Nothobranchius furzeri: one gene and its partner. The protein of the gene in region 1 purifies or fractionates together with the protein of each later gene. This does not show direct contact. Links are inferred from orthologs where the notes say so. Each region holds a gene or a part of one and is shown on either strand. Other genes may lie near its edges.

Region 1 (7,773 bases):
GCAGCCTGCAGTTCCAAGTTCTACACGTCACCAGAACATAATCAACCGCAACACAATAAAAGCAGTGTTATACAAAATGGAAAACCTGTAGTGTTTATTCTCTTACAGTACCAATTAATCAAATTTTTTGAGGAATTTATTAGAGATTTTTTGGTTTTTATTAACTGTGCAATAGAAAAATAATCATTAGATTAATTGTGTAGTCATTCGAATTGTCGACTAGTCGATAAAATAATTGTCAGAATAATCGTTTTAAAAATAATCGTTTACCCCCAGCCCTATGATTACGGTTACACAGGACATACCAAAATTCTGTGTTTCAGAAAACTAAAATATTGAGAAAAAGCAAAATACTGGAAACTCTTGGTGTCCCACCCTACTCAGCAAATTAAGTCAAACACTTGCAAAGAGTTCCTGAGCCTCTAAATCAGGGGTTCGTCGCCTGTATGTTCTAGGTATTTCCCTGCTGCCACACACCCGACTTGACAAGCTTTGCTTAAAAGCTATTGATGTCATTCGGAGAAGATAATGCAAACTTCAGGTGCACTGAAGAAGAGACATTGAAAACATGTGGGACAGCGGATCCAGGTTGAGAAGCCCTGGTCTCACTCTGGGTCAGTAGGCTACAGCCATGGAGGGCCATGGGGGCTGGACACATCCCAAAGACAGTAGTTGTGTCCGCAAGATCCGGAAGCCACAAAAGGTCCCTTCCAACGGTGTGGTGATACGTGTGACTTAATAAAAACAATGCAAGGATCAATTCATGTGTGAGAGGTTTTGAATAAAACTTGACTAATAAAATAACAAACCACACAGTGACGTCAAAGGTGGGTGTCCCCCTCACCTCTTCGGACCTCAACATAACTGTATCCACCTCTGGGGGCAACACCTAAGAACTCGCTAAACAAACAGTTAAAAAAGTTTAAACCACCACGTGAAACCTGGTGTAGATGTTTCTTTAAGCTAACGTGTTGTTTCAAACTGCAGCGTGTTTGTGCTCTGAACAGTAGTGGAGTTTGGACCAATGACCTCATAAAACACACATTTTTCGTGACGAGGCTGAAGTTAGCTTCCGATTCCAGATTCCAATTTGGGAAACGGCTAAAGGGCGATTACACCCAATTTTTCTCTACTCTGCTCTAGCTGAAAAACTACAACAGCCATACTGTTCAAACCTGTTCTTGAATATTCTACAATAATAGCAGATGGCATACAACCTTGTTTGGGATTTGTAAAACCTTTCCCTGATTTGTGAAACTTCAACAAAGCCTGATTTATGCGTTTTTTCAGCATCTGGTCAACAATGGAACAGCTGTAGCTCAAAAACTACAACAGCCACACTGTCCAAACCTGTTCTAGATTATTCTACTATAACAGTGTGGCTGTTGTAGTTTTTCAGCTAGAGCAGATGGTCAGAGTAGAGAAAAAAGAAGCTGAAATCGGAAGCTATCTTCAGACTCGTTTTTTCGTGCTTCTACGATGGAAATATTCCCTCTGCACTGAACACCGACTCCTGACCATCGACATCTATACTCTTGACAAGTTAAAGGTACAAACGTTGGGCCACCGCTCCGTGACATTTCTACGCATTTAGAGCAACAAGTAGGCTTGTGTCCAGCCTGTCCGATAACTCTTACCCTGTTGTAGTGGACTTCAGGCTGGCTGTTGGGCGCTGGGATGGCGCTGCTATAGTGACAGACTGACAGTCGGTTGAGGGGAAGAAAAGCTCGATAAAAAACTGCACGAAGCATGATGTTTTCATGCGCAGCTCTACGAGCAACAACCAGGAACTGGGCTTTACGCGTGCTTGTGTCTTTTTCAGGTCGTCAGCGCTGACGCTCTGCTGCCCCCTAAAGGCCAAGCCACTACACTGACTGACTGACTGACTGACTGAATGAATGAATGAATTAATTAAGTAATTAATTAAGTAATTAATTAAGTAATTAAAAATTACTTAGACTATGCAGTGTTTGTACAATTTTGAGCCTTAGGTCAGAGTAGCTAGTGTTATCCAAATGGAAATGGACCAAAGCCTAAACTGAGTCTTGCCCATCACAAGTTGCTACACAGCATCTGAGTTGTGTATGGTAAAATCTGACGAACGACCGAAAAAAAGGAACTTTGAACACTTCGAGCAAAAGGGGCAGGTGCTCACGACGCCTATCAAGAAGGATGTTGTGGTCCACAGATGGAGCATCACCAGAGCAGATGTTTTGCCTGAATCCTGTATTGAGACCAAACTCATTTAAATCCTTAATCAGTGCCATCTCAGTGCTGCAGTGTTGTCTAAAGTCGAACTGGAAACCAACCAGCAAGTTTTCTGTCTCCAAAAAGTTGTTCAGCTGGATCATAACTGTTTTTCAGTAATTTCCCCAAAGAGGAGATTATTGGTCTGTAGTTATTCAACACTAAATGATCTAATTTTCTTCTAGAAGAGACTTAACAGCAGTTTTCAAGGATTTATAAAAATACCTGACAGCAATTAACACTTTTCAGTACATCAGCTTTTAAGCAACTAAAACATTTTTAAGTTACCGGTAGTTGGCAGGTCAAGTAATAGGTCAAGTGCCTCGGTGCTGCAGATTCCAGATTTTCATATATTTTTCATCAGTATGTTTTTGAACCTAAACCAGTCTCTTGAACCTAAACCAGTCTCATAGTGGGTCAATGTTTCACCAGTTTGCCCACCAATGGCCGTACAAGATCACTAGAAACACTTATTCTTTTGTTGTTTTTGTCAAAGCGGTAAGGTGCCGGTCACCCTCCAGACCGCTAGGTGGAGTTAGTGCACGTACAGTTTTAGGCGGACTGCCATAAAACCGCAAAGTAGAAAACACGTTTTGAGCATGTGCACGTACGCACGCTGCTTGATCTGAACGCTGCATTCGGGAGAAAAACATAAGAATCTTAATTTTTGATCGGGTTAAGGCTGTTTTCTGGGCAACATGAGACCAGGTAGAGTACCCGTGCTTGTTACAATGACGAGTTGGACTTGTTCAACTCATGGTTTTTATTTGTCTTTACGGGCCTGGTTTGGATCGTGTGTGTGTGTGTGTCTGGCTACAGCGCCCTGCATGTCCGGGAACATTATCATGGAACGTTACCGTTCTCAGTGTTCAAGCATTAAGAAACGAATGGCTAGGATCTTAAGTGAGCTCAAGAGACACAACTGTGTTGTTAGATCAAACAATTAGACCGTATATTATCATTGTTAGTTGTAAACGGCTAAGGCACGTGCTACGGACTCACCGAAGTACGCGAGCAAAACACAGGAAAGTAAAACTTTAGTGCATCAACTCAGAAAACACGAACTGTACAACTCGTGTGTGTGGCTAGCGCGTCACCAACAGAGGAAGCTGATATTTATCAGCATGAAGAACATTAAATCCTAAACCCTTGAATGGTGAAGCCACTTTCCTCATCTAGAGGTTCCTTTGCAGCAGAGTTGAGTTTTTGCTGTTACAAAGGTTAAAGTAAAGTTCAGATTTATGGATTTTTAAGTTTAGAAAACATAAATCAATAGTTTAAAAACCTCTCTGGGTAAAATATTTTAATTGGTCTTTTTGAGATAAACTTTTAAAGATTTATTTCCAGAAAAAAACAAGTTGTCCTCAGAGGGAGATGATTGCTTTACTGTCAGTGACAAGTAAACAAGTACTATTGGCCCATATAAAAGTACAATGACATCATTTAGAGACCACTGTCTCCTGTTTAAATGTGTCTGATGTGTCCTTCTGTTTAAGGTTTTCGTGGGGACAGAGGAGGAAGAGGAGGTGGGGGACGAGGACGAGGGGGTTTTGGTGATCGTGGAGGACGTGGGGGGTTTGGTGATCGTGGAGGACGTGGAGGAAGAGGTGAGGATGCTGTCGAAGGCACAAATGTGTTAATTTTAACACCTGTGAGCTTGTTTAAACAGAAGCTAGCTCCTCTTCACCTCAGTAGGCGGGCTCTGATTGGTTCTCTCACCTAGTCTGAGTGGTCTTATGTCTGTTACTCGCATCTTTCCCGTCTTTTGAATGGGTTTTTGTCCTCGCCATCTTTAATATAATCTTTTATTTGTTCAAAAATGTCTGATCAATTTAGTCATTTATCCAAGATTTTTTGCTTCATTTAGTCCACAAAAATGTTTTGACAAAATAATTCACCTCAGTGATAGTTGATGTTAAACGTATTTCCTACTCATAAATGCAGCACAGATTCCAATGAGACATTTTGTTTTTCAGGTGGGGGGTTTCGGTCCCCTGATGGTGGAGGATTTAGAGGGAGAGGAGGCGGCCGAGGCACTCCTAGAGGAAGAGGAGGTAGGGGTGGTGGCAGGGGCTTTGGAGGAGGGAAGAAGGTCTTGATTGAGCCACACAGACACGAAGGTTTGTATTTCTGCTTTGTGATCGAACAATCCAATATTTATCTTGCACGTTAGTTAGCGATTGCTGGTCTAGAATGACCTAGTCCAGATGTGAAAACTAAGGATTGTAGTTTTAAAATTAGAGCAGGGTAAATGAGGCTCAGGGTGTCCTAAAAATCAGTTTTCTGAATCAGGAGCTAGAAATGGAAACCAGCTTCAGCTTTGTTCAGTGCTGTAGGATCATAGCTATACATTTACTTATCTGTTTTGCCCGTTGAGAATTGGCTGTATGTTTAGTCTAGTGGTGGAGTGTGTGCAGGAATGAGTAGCAGCAGCCACGGCTCCTCTTTAAGCTATGGGTAATGGTTTTAGATGTGAATTCCAGAAGTACTTGACTTCCATTCTTACCTAGAAAGTTGTAAAACCCATCGTGTGGCCAAATCCTTGCCTGCAGAGAAGACTGAGCCGGCTTCTCCATGTAGAACCATAAGGGGTGTTTCTTGATGTCAAGGCGCCTGGCCTCGAAAGGCGATGTCTGGCTAGGGCAGACGCCTTTGCTTACGAGGACACAGTCCTTCTTTGGTCAAAGAAAATGGTTAAATAGAACAGACTTGCATCATGTGACTGCAGGTGAAATGTCTTTGGAGGCGGCTTATGGTAGAGAAGTGGACATTCACTTCATGGGAAACAGCTCTAGTAGACATTCCTGCAGTCAGCATTCCAATTGCTCGCTCCCTCAAGGGTTGTGACATCGGTGGCGTTGTTTTGTTTGATCAAACTGCACATGGCAGGGTGTCCTTTTATTGTGGGCAGTAGGGATGCACCGATAGATCGGCATTTGATCGTAATCGGCCGATAGCGCCCCTATCGGTTTTGATCGGAATTTTCAAAATAGATCAAAGCAGACCGATCAGCCGTAGGGATATCACGGTAACCAGTGTAGCATTAAACCCCGGTTAAAAAAAAGTTGACAATAATAACCGTCTTGTTTTTTAAAAAACTATATTATCTTGGTGGGTTTACCGTAGCTGCGGTGTAGGCGCGGTGACCCTTACCAGCCACCGTATCATCGGCTGAAGTTGCCGGCGGCACATGCGCGCTTTGCTGTTTACAACCAAAACTTTCTTGAAGCTAAAGCTGAAATAATGGCCAAAGGAGGAGACGGCAGCGCTCAGGAGGACATTTATTATCCCTCAAAGAACGCAAAGTCGGAAGTACGGGCATATTTTAGATATTTGAAGAATGCCGAGGGAGTTTATAGAAGACGGATGGCTATCCTGTTTGCAGCACGTGCAGAAAAAGTGTCTGTGAAAGGCAGCAACGCCTCGGAGAGAGACCAACTCTTATCTGCCCCTGGGAGCCCCGTAATGCATAGCATTATTTCAACATGGCGGTGTCCGCGACACGGTTTATATGCAGGTAGCGGCACTGCGGCTGCTTTATATAGCGACTCGTTGCATTCTCCCTCAACCCAAATCCTCGGATCACGCATTTTAGCTAAAACGCTAACGTTAGCTTGCCTTACGTTGACTGTAGAGTTGTGGGTGATGGTCACGCAGATGTGTCATGAGATTTGAAGCGTTGCTGCCTTTCACAGACACTTTTTCTGCACGTGCTGCAAACAGGATAGCCGTCTTCTATCAACTGTCCCTCGGCATTCTTCAAATATCAAAAAAATGCCCGTACTTCCCACTTTGTCTTCTTTGAGGGATAATAAATGTCCTGAGCACTGCCGTCTCCTCCTTTGGCCATTATTTCAGCTTTAGCTTCAAGAAAGTTTTGGTTGTAGACAACAAAGCGCGCATGTGCCGCCGGCAACATCAGCAGATGATACGGTGGCTGGTAAGGGTCACCGCACCTACACCGCAGCCACGGTAATCCACCGAGATAATATACTTTTTAAAAAACAAGACGGTTATTATTATTGCCAACTTTTTTTACCGGGGTTTACCGCTACACCGGTTACCGTGACAACCCTAATTGAGAAACGCCCTAGGTAGTTGGCTAATGCTGGTAGCATGTTGGGCCCTTCCCTTGCTGAAATGATTCACCACAACAGTAGCTGTTGTATGTGGAGCGAGTAAGCTAGAGAGTGTTTGAGCTCTAACTTGTGTGTTTTTTGTCAGGAGTGTTTATCTGCCGAGGGAAGGAGGATGCTCTGGTGACCAAGAATATGGTTGTAGGAGAGTCTGTCTATGGGGAGAAGAGGATGAGTGTGGAGGTGAGAGAGAAGTTTTGTCTGGATTGCATCACTAATCGCTTTTCCTTACAATGATAACGGCTGGGTGTCCATCCTTTAGGAAGGGGAGACGAAGATTGAGTACAGAGCATGGAATCCTTTCCGCTCAAAGTTGGCTGCTGCCATCTTGGGAGGAATTGACCAGATCCATATCAAACCTGGAGCCAAGGTCATGTATCTGGGCGCTGCCTCTGGTACCACTGTGTCTCACGTGTCTGACATCGTAGGTCCGGTAAGTTCAACACTCAGTGCGACGCAACTAATGGTGTGTTGTGTGTGTGTGTGTTTACAACAGTTGTCAAATACAGACCTTGACCAAAATGTATTTATGTGTGCACTAGGGTTGGGCGATGGGACGAATTATTCGACCATCGACGATGGCTTGAGCCATTAGTTGTTTTTTTTACAAGAGGTGATTTGTTTATTTGGCCTCGAGTAAGTTTGTAGCACGTTACGCACAGAGAACATCGCAGAGCTAACAATCAAGAAAAGTTTTCCTGCAGCACACATGAGCATTATCTCACATTTTCTCTACATTTGCAGGTGTGGAAACTTTTAACTGCCTGAGCGCCATTGGCGGTAAATGTTCTTGTCGAGCAGTAAATAATTGACGACTTACCGCCCGGGTGGTGCCCAAGCTTTGTTTGTCATTTTTACCGGCGTTCACCTCCCCCTGTGTCCACACGTTTGGGATACATCGTGGCCGTGCCCTGGGGGTGCAACCAACATTGATCCGCAATCCGTTCAGATCTCGCTCTACGGTTGGGCGCGGTTCGCAGATCGGCCACGTGAAGGGCGGAGGCACTACCTGTTCCATTTAAAGGAGAAACGCTTGAAGAGGAGAGGAGCTTGAAATACCTCCTGCATCATTTAGGTTGCATGTATGGGAGAATTTTGACTCCCTGTAAAACACAATGATGATACAAACGGCAAGAATTTACACACGCACGCTCCTGCAGTCTGACGGCTCAGTAGCCTGCAGGTACAGTGTGTGTCACACACTCCAGTTAATGCAAGAGTGCAGAGGTGTGGACTCAAGTCACATGACTTGGACTCGAGTCATTATTTTAATGACTTCTGACTTGACTTGATAAAATCTATAAAGACTTACAACTTGACTCAGACTTGAACACCAGTGACTTGCGACTTGAATCTACTTGCATCTATTGACTTGATGATGACTTGAGCA
Region 2 (7,862 bases), on another chromosome or scaffold:
TTGATGACAACTATAGGCCATAAAATGTGATTTGATTTCTTTTGTCACATTTCCTATAAGCAGACTAAAAATCTACAGCTGAGAACCTTTACTTATTACACTCATATCTTCATATGCACGTCTACAATATACGATATCCACAAGCATGTGAGGACGTTTCAGCATCTAACAGGCACCAGAATTAAAATAAAAAATGAAACAAGTATGAACGCAAACGTGGTATCGTCATCCATCATCACCCGCAAGCTACATGCAGGGAAATCTGTCCGACTTAAACGCCGGCTTCCAGCCACTCCCCCTGCTGCTTTCCAGACGAGGCGCTGCTCAGCTCGAACAAGGGCATTTTTTTCGTGACTCAAGGTGGTACCATTTCTTAAAGTGACATAAACATTGCTAACCTACAGACATATTTTCATTTTTTCAATTATAGTAGGAGTCACCGCTCGTCTAGGAAAGGAGCTGGATCAAAAAGTGGAAAAAACAAAATAAGAATCCGCACATTTCTATCTGCGATGTAAGAGTTTATTGGTCAAGCTTTCGGTCAGAGACCTCTTACATCGCAGATTGAAGTGTGCGGATTCTTATTTTCTTTTTTTCATTTTTTTAATTATCAAATGTATTGAAATGTGAAAAATTATCTCGTTAAGTCAGAAATTTCAATGACGATAAATTTTTGATTTATTGCCCTAGATAGCCCCAAATAAATCATTTCACATGTCGGCAGCCAACCTAATACTACACTACACTACAATCTCCATACACTAAATGTTACCTTGGTGTTCCTGTTCCATATTCAACCTTTAGGTTTTCTCACATTTCTGCTAAATTATGTAGAAAATCAGATTTTGCTGCACAGTACTAAAACTCTTAAACTGATGTTTCACAAGGCTGCTCACAGTCAAATAAAGATTTAAAAAGAATGACTTTATTAAACAGGTGATGGCTGTGCAAAGTGAAAACTAAAATCAACTTAAAAAAGCAAACAAAATATCCATTTGATTAGCACTTTTTTTTTCTTTTACCAAACATAAAATAAGATGGAATTGTGGATGCATCAACCCAGCTGAGCTGCTGTTGAAACAGTGCTTAGAAATCACACCAGCAGTCTCTCAATAGCCATCTGAACAGACTGAATCTGTGGCTTGAGCTGAGAGCCCTCCTTTATGGTGACAGAGGTAGCAATGACGGGGCGCGACACCCCACAGGCTCGGCCCAGCGCCTGCTTGGAGCGGACAAACACATACGGCACGTTCTTGTCCTCGCAGAGAAGTGGCAGGTGGAGGATGATCTCCAGCGGTTCAGCGTCAGCAGCCATGACTATAAACTCAGCAATGCCTCGGTTTAAAGTCTTAGTGGCTGAGGAAACAAAAGAAATACATTAATGTGTGTAAATCAAGACTACAGAGAAGTTAAGCTTATGGATGATTTATCTTTTAGTAGGAATGTAAGAAAATATCGAAATAGCAATATATCACAATATTTTTTCCTGTGATATTATATCGATGTTCAAAAGCTGTGTATCGATTTTTTTTGGAAGAATTTACGTGCAAACATTTATGTATTTTCTTTTCTTTTGGTGCAAATCAAATGCCGTCCGCTAGTCAGCAGTAGTGTGAATGGAGTTTGTTTCCACCACTGAAATGTAAATCCCTCTATTTTGGTTCAGATACCTCATGTTAATCATGTTAAGTATCAGTTTGGGCCATTTATTGAATTTTCCTACAATAATTTTAGTCTAAAAAAATCGCTAATATTTTCCGGCTGAATATATCGCAATATATCGTGATATATTGTCTCCCCTGTATCGTGATAAGTATCGTATCGCCAGAATTTCACCAATACACATCCCTATCTTTTAGCATTTGTATATGCAGAATTGTTTAAAAACAACCCAAAAGCCACATATTTGAGAAATATGGCATTATTTTAGTAGACTGCGTTTGATAATGTAAAATACTAAAATGACATTGTAAGTCTTAAAGGCTGCCCTTTGTCACCCGTTCTGTTCATAACTTTTGTGGACAAGATTTCTAGGCGCAGCCAAGGTGTGGAGGAGATCTGTTTTGGTGGCCGAAGGATTGAGTCTCCGTTTTTTGCAGATGATGTGGTCCTGTTAGTTTCATCAGAACGTGATGTCCAGCTTTCACTGGAGCAGTCTGCAGCAGAGTTTGAAGCAGCTGGGATAAGAATCAGCTCCTCTATGTCAGCGACCATGGTCTTGAGTCGGAAGAGGGTAGAATGCCTTCTCCGGGTCAGGGATGAGGTCCTCTCTCAAGTACAGGAGTTTAAGTGTCTCTGGGTCTTGTTCACGAGTGAGCATGAGGTCGACATGTGGATTGGTGATGCATCTGCAGTAGGGCTGGGCAATATGGCCTAAAATCAATATCACGATGAGGATTTCACCTCGATAACGATAAACGGACGATAACTACAGGAATGCGCAGAAACAAAAGTTGTCCACTAGATGGGGCTGTCACATGTTTTACATTGAGTCATACTTTTACGAGGTGGTACAGCTTCTTAAAGGGACATGAACGTTGACAACCTACACACATCTTGACATGGGAAAATTATCTCGATAAGTCAGAAAATTTGATAACGATACATTTTCGATTTATTGCCCAGCCCTAGTCTGCAGAGATGCGGACATTGTACCGTCTGCCATGGTGAGAAGAGAGCTGAGCCATAAGGCGAAGCTTTCGATTTACGTTCCTACCCTCACCTATGGTCACCAGCTTTGGGTATTGACCCAAAGAATGAGATTGTGGATACAAGCAGCCAAAATGAGTTTTTTCCACTAGGTGTCTGGGCTCTCCCTTAGAGATAGGGTGAGAAGCTTGGTCATACAGGAGGGGCTCGGAGTAGATCCGCTGCTCCTCCACATTGAGAGAAGCACGTCCAATTGGGAGGAGACTTATGCCCAGAACACACCAGCTGCGAAGAACCGCGGAGTGGATTGCTCACAAAATTTGTGCGCTCTCCGCTCCTCTTCTGGTCACATCAGGCGAGAATTTTCAACGAGCACTTCTGCTCACGCCTACTGTTTTCTAAACATGCCCTTGCTCTGTGTGTGTGTGTGTGTGTAACCAGTTTGCCTTGCTTGTTGATATTGGACACTGTGCTGATTCTGCTGCTGTGCATTTGTTTGTATTCACATTTATTAAATCCATCTTTTGCTGTAAACACTGAATTTTAAATTATGGTAACACTACGTTTTTCTGCAGGTGTGTGTTTGTTCCTTTTCATCTCTCTAGTCTATTTAGATACACAAACATGATCACTTTTATCAATTGCAGTGTTTTATTGTGAATTTTTTTTTTGTTAAATTTACCAGCCTGCCTCTTCTGCTTTAGTTTACTTCCTGCCAGAATTGTTCACTCACGGCTCACGTAAAAATAGAGCTCACGCCAAAATGATCGCTGCACGGAGCGAGCCTTTGTGGCGCTTCCCAGCTGATGTGACTGAGAGCATAGGTTAACAGGGACAAAGCGCCCGTCGTTCAACAGCGCTTCCTTGCTACTGTATTATCTGGGTGCCTCGCCTCTGACAGTGCACCCAGGGCAGCTGCGGCTACATCGTAGCTAATCACCATCAGTGTGTGAATGTGTGTGTTAATGGATGAATTACACACTGTAGAGTAAAGCGCTTTGGAGTCCTTACTCTGAGAGGCGCTACACAAGTGCGGGTCATTTATCATTATCATTTGAACTAGATTAGAACCAATTCCCTTTCAGCCAGACTAACGCGTTATATGCATTTTAAAAAACTACAGAAGTCTTTTTAGGGCAATACTTTGGTTCTCTAGTGTGCATGTTAAGGCACTGTATATGTCATGGCTGACCAGGGGAGACCTTGGGATTCTGCGGGAGGAGCTGGCCCAAGTGGCTGAGGAGAGGGAAGTATAAGCCTCTCGACGTAGACTGCAGCTGCCGTGACACGACCCCGGATAAACTGAAGAAAATAGATGGATTGGTCTTAATGCGCCATTCTAATTTTTGATAATGCAGCTGCCATCAGCCTCCAGTGAGGCAAGTGTACAGCGCTGCAGACACGCACATGTAAAGAAGAGCTTCCTGCTTCCTCTGCCGCAGGATAGGAACATCTGTCACATGTCGATGTAAAATTCAGATTTAAAGTATTACATATGAAAGGGACCCAGGTCTAACTTGATAATTATGACGAATATGTGTTGTGAACGTCATTAAAAGCAGATGTGGGTCATAAAAAGCAGAAGTGGGTCACATCTGAGAAAGAAATTCTGGTTCGACCATTGAGTCAGCAGTGAGAACACGGCCTATGATCCAATAATTACATGTAAAAGCAAAATTTTCACCTTCTACGTTTGTTTCGTTACAAATTCTGTTATAAATGTTGAGTAAAATAGCCGAATAGTTTCCACACCTTCGTTAGCTCCCTTCCTCAGCTGCTTGTAGTTGGAGGCTTGCTGCACCAGGTCCAGGATGGTTTTGGTCAGGGTGGCGTCGGCCAGAGGGTAGGCCTTTGGGTTCACTTGGGGCTCACTCTGGTCACAAAAATGAGAAGGTTCAAAATAAGCTTCAACAGAACAAACCAGCTTTAACAAAAATCACATTATCTTATTTTAAGAAAGCGCACAACCGTGTGTTCTTATTCATGCTACATGCAAGCCCGTCTGTTAGCCTATTAGCTCTTACACTAAGCTCACCATTTTTGTAATCCGGCCCTCTCGGCGAAATGCTTCACGGAGGACTATTTGATTTGTCTTCAGAATATAAATACAATCGAAACGTGAATTATTCTTGTTTCATTCGAGTTTTAATAGCGCCACAAAACGACTATTATCTGCAGCATGCACTAGATCCAAACGTTGACCCCACGTGTGTGATGGTCGTCAGGCTGCACATGCGCACAGGGAATGTAATTTTTTCAAAACAAACTTTATTAACAAACAACATGAACAAACTGAAAAATACTTTCTAAAGTTCAAATAAAGTTATTTTAAAACAGCTTTCGAGTGTGTATCATGGTGTGTATTGCTTTATGACACTGTAAATGTCGAGGGGATATCTTATAAACCTTTAATAAAAAAAACAAAAATATGAAAGAAGGTTTAGACTTTTTATCTTTGAACCCGTTTTCGTTTTAAACCTGAGGCGTTTGTGGGCTTTCATGAAGTCGTTTTTTTTTCTAAATTGTGGACTGTGACTATTAGTTGTGGGAAAATGCTTTATAAAGATGATGATGATGATGATGATGATGATGATGATGATGATGATGATGATGATGATGATGATGGAAAGTTAATTATAGAATTACTAATTATGTAAATGCAAAATATTAATCAGTGTCACGATCTAATCAGATTTAATTTGCCAATTATTTTCCACACACAATCAATTTGATTCATATTTCCCATTTGCTGTTCTCGAACTCTTTGTTTTTTGTGATTTTAGATCTGGAAAAATTGTTGATGCAGTTTATTTGTTGGTCTGAAGAGGGCGCGCGGTTTATGCAAGCTAGAGATGAACGCGCTATGCATTCTGGGTAGGGCACTTTCCATTCAGCCATATTGTATCGTTGTCCTGGCTGAAGGAGACAGGAGAGATGAAGGGGATTCGGGGAATCAGTCAGTTAACGGTGAGAGCTGACTTTATTTGTTCTGAAAGTTTGCGTGACGGGATCAGTGTTCCCATCCCATCCAGTCGCTGTCACTAACTGTCTTTGGGTGGTTTTAAACCATACCTGTCTTGTCTTGGAACAAGCAGCCGGCTAAGCTTGACATGACTGTTTAATCTGAAAACTTGATGTGACCAAGAATAACTATTTTTCTAGACATGTATGTATATGATCATGAATTAATCTCCACTGTGTTAGGCTCTAATGACTGACTCCTCAATTGTTTAAATGTAAGATAATTAACAACTAGCAGCTAGCTAGGCTAGTTAGCATACCAGAGGGTACGTAGTAGCTTTAGCATTTTTCAGAAGGCTTAACTCTAGGTGTGTGTATCTCACTCAAATACATATCTGGATCGGTGAATGAAGACTAAAATTATCAAGTGATTTTCATTTGGAAAGAAACCTTCAATCTTTGTACGACAAAAGCACATTTTAAAACATGCAATTAACAAAAAGGAAATCCCAACTGTTCATTCACTCGGGGACACACAAAACACACACTTATTCAGGGTGGGTTATCTCTCTTTAAAGTTGGTTCAATGTGAAATTAAAGATGGACAGTCATTGGTGCCTTAAAAGATTTACCAGCATCAGTGGCTGTCTCCTGATGTCCATCGTCTACTGGTTTGGATTATAATCTGGCAATGAGGAATCTGATAATGATAAATCTAAAGCGTGTTTTCTATAAACTGATTGTATTTCAACAGTAAATACAACTAGTTTTTGTACAATAACCCGTAAATATGTGATAAAGATGCAAATTAATTGTTTAGAGCAGTTATAGATTGTGAATTGTCATCAACATAAGGTGCTTTAAAACATTGAAATGTCACCTTGAAGATGCTTGCATTTGATTTTGGTAAATGTAGAGGAACCTTGGTCCTGTGTTTGTACAGTATAATATTACCCTTGAAGAGGTGAACACTCCTTGTTAAAACTCATTTCTAGTGCCCTTGCTTCAAAGCAGCATGGCTTTAGTTGTTTTGTTGTGTTGTGTTTCTCCAGACGAGGCTGTATGCAGCCCAGGCAGCCCGTAAGGTGGAAGCCACTGGGTTTCAGCCACAAGATGTTCAGGTGAGTAGCTGATGTAGGTTTAGGTGTGATGGTATAAACTAATCTGTTTATTTTCTGCTTTAACCGTTTACCTATTTTTTATTTATTTATTTATTTTTTGTCCAGCTGCATGTAATTAAACTGGGGTCTCATTCATTAAACATTTGTAGAAATATTCCTATATTCCTTCCTTCGGTTGATAAATGAGGTCCCTGGATCTTGGACAAGCCTTTCATGCTGATTGTCTGTTGTGTGACGCCGCTCACACGTGTGTTTATGTCCAGGTAACCAAACTGCCCAGTGGGCTGGTGATTGCATCACTTGAGAATTATTCCCCAGCCTCAAAAATTGGTGTCTTTGTTAAAGCCGGCTGTCGCTATGAGACCTCTGACAACCTGGGCGTCACCCACCTCCTCAGGCTGGCCTCCAATCTGGTACGACAGTTCAGTACAGCTTACAGTAGTTGTTGTCCTCATCAGCCTTCTGGGCTGCAAAATCTTTATTATTATTAAGAAATGTAACATTTAAGCCTTTTTAATTCTCTCCTGTATTTTAAGACTTTGACATTTGTCTCGTTTTGATAGCAGTCTGCTTTTTTTCATTTTACAGACAACCAAGGGAGCATCTGCGTTCAAAATCTGCCATGCTATCGAGGCAGTTGGAGGCAGCATGAGGTCAGAAATGACCTCCTAAAAACTGATGTAGAAAAGTTGAGGCTTTCACAAGTGCTCACTGTGAATATTTTCATGTTTCTGTGCAGCGTGACTTCGTCCAGAGAGAATATGGTGTACACTGTGGACTGCTTGAGAGACGACATGTAAGTGCTTAAACAGGCACTTGTGATGGGAATGGCTATATTTTTAAAATGTAACTGGTAAATGGCTGCATGGCGGCGCCGTTGTTAGCACTGTTGCCTCGCAGCACGAAGGTTGCAGGTTTGAAACTCGGCTGCAGCCTTTCTGCGTGGAGTTGCGTGTTCTCCCCATGCATGCGTGGGTTTCCTCCGGGTACTCCAGTTTCCCCCACAGATCACAACATGCTCTATAGGTTATAAATTGTAAGTCGCTTTGGATAAAAGCGTCTGCTAAATGAATAAACATAATAATAATAAACTTAATAGTAACTCTCCCTTACAAACCTTGAGCTTTTTCC

What was found.
Region 2: the proteins of fbl (region 1) and snu13b purify together in Homo sapiens (affinity purification with mass spectrometry; 5 studies listed by BioGRID and IntAct, with this or other methods). This does not show direct contact. The link is inferred for Nothobranchius furzeri from reciprocal best matches to the Homo sapiens genes FBL and SNU13.

Annotation. Positions count from the first base shown.
Region 1 is NC_091745.1:58,449,169-58,456,941, forward strand, and holds the start of fbl (rRNA 2'-O-methyltransferase fibrillarin), read left to right. Parts: upstream 1-2,825; 5' UTR 2,826-2,945; coding exon 2,946-2,955; intron 2,956-3,743; coding exon 3,744-3,854; intron 3,855-4,223; coding exon 4,224-4,367; intron 4,368-6,471; coding exon 6,472-6,566; intron 6,567-6,645; coding exon 6,646-6,816; intron 6,817-7,773.
Region 2 is NC_091756.1:29,117,414-29,125,275, reverse strand, and holds snu13b (NHP2-like protein 1), read right to left. Parts: upstream 4,866-7,862; 5' UTR 4,688-4,865; coding exon 4,685-4,687; intron 4,523-4,684; coding exon 4,402-4,522; intron 1,357-4,401; coding exon 1,094-1,356; 3' UTR 904-1,093; downstream 1-903. Other genes in the region: uqcrc2b (cytochrome b-c1 complex subunit 2, mitochondrial), read left to right, coding at 5,584-5,616, 6,663-6,731, 6,995-7,144, 7,320-7,384, 7,471-7,527.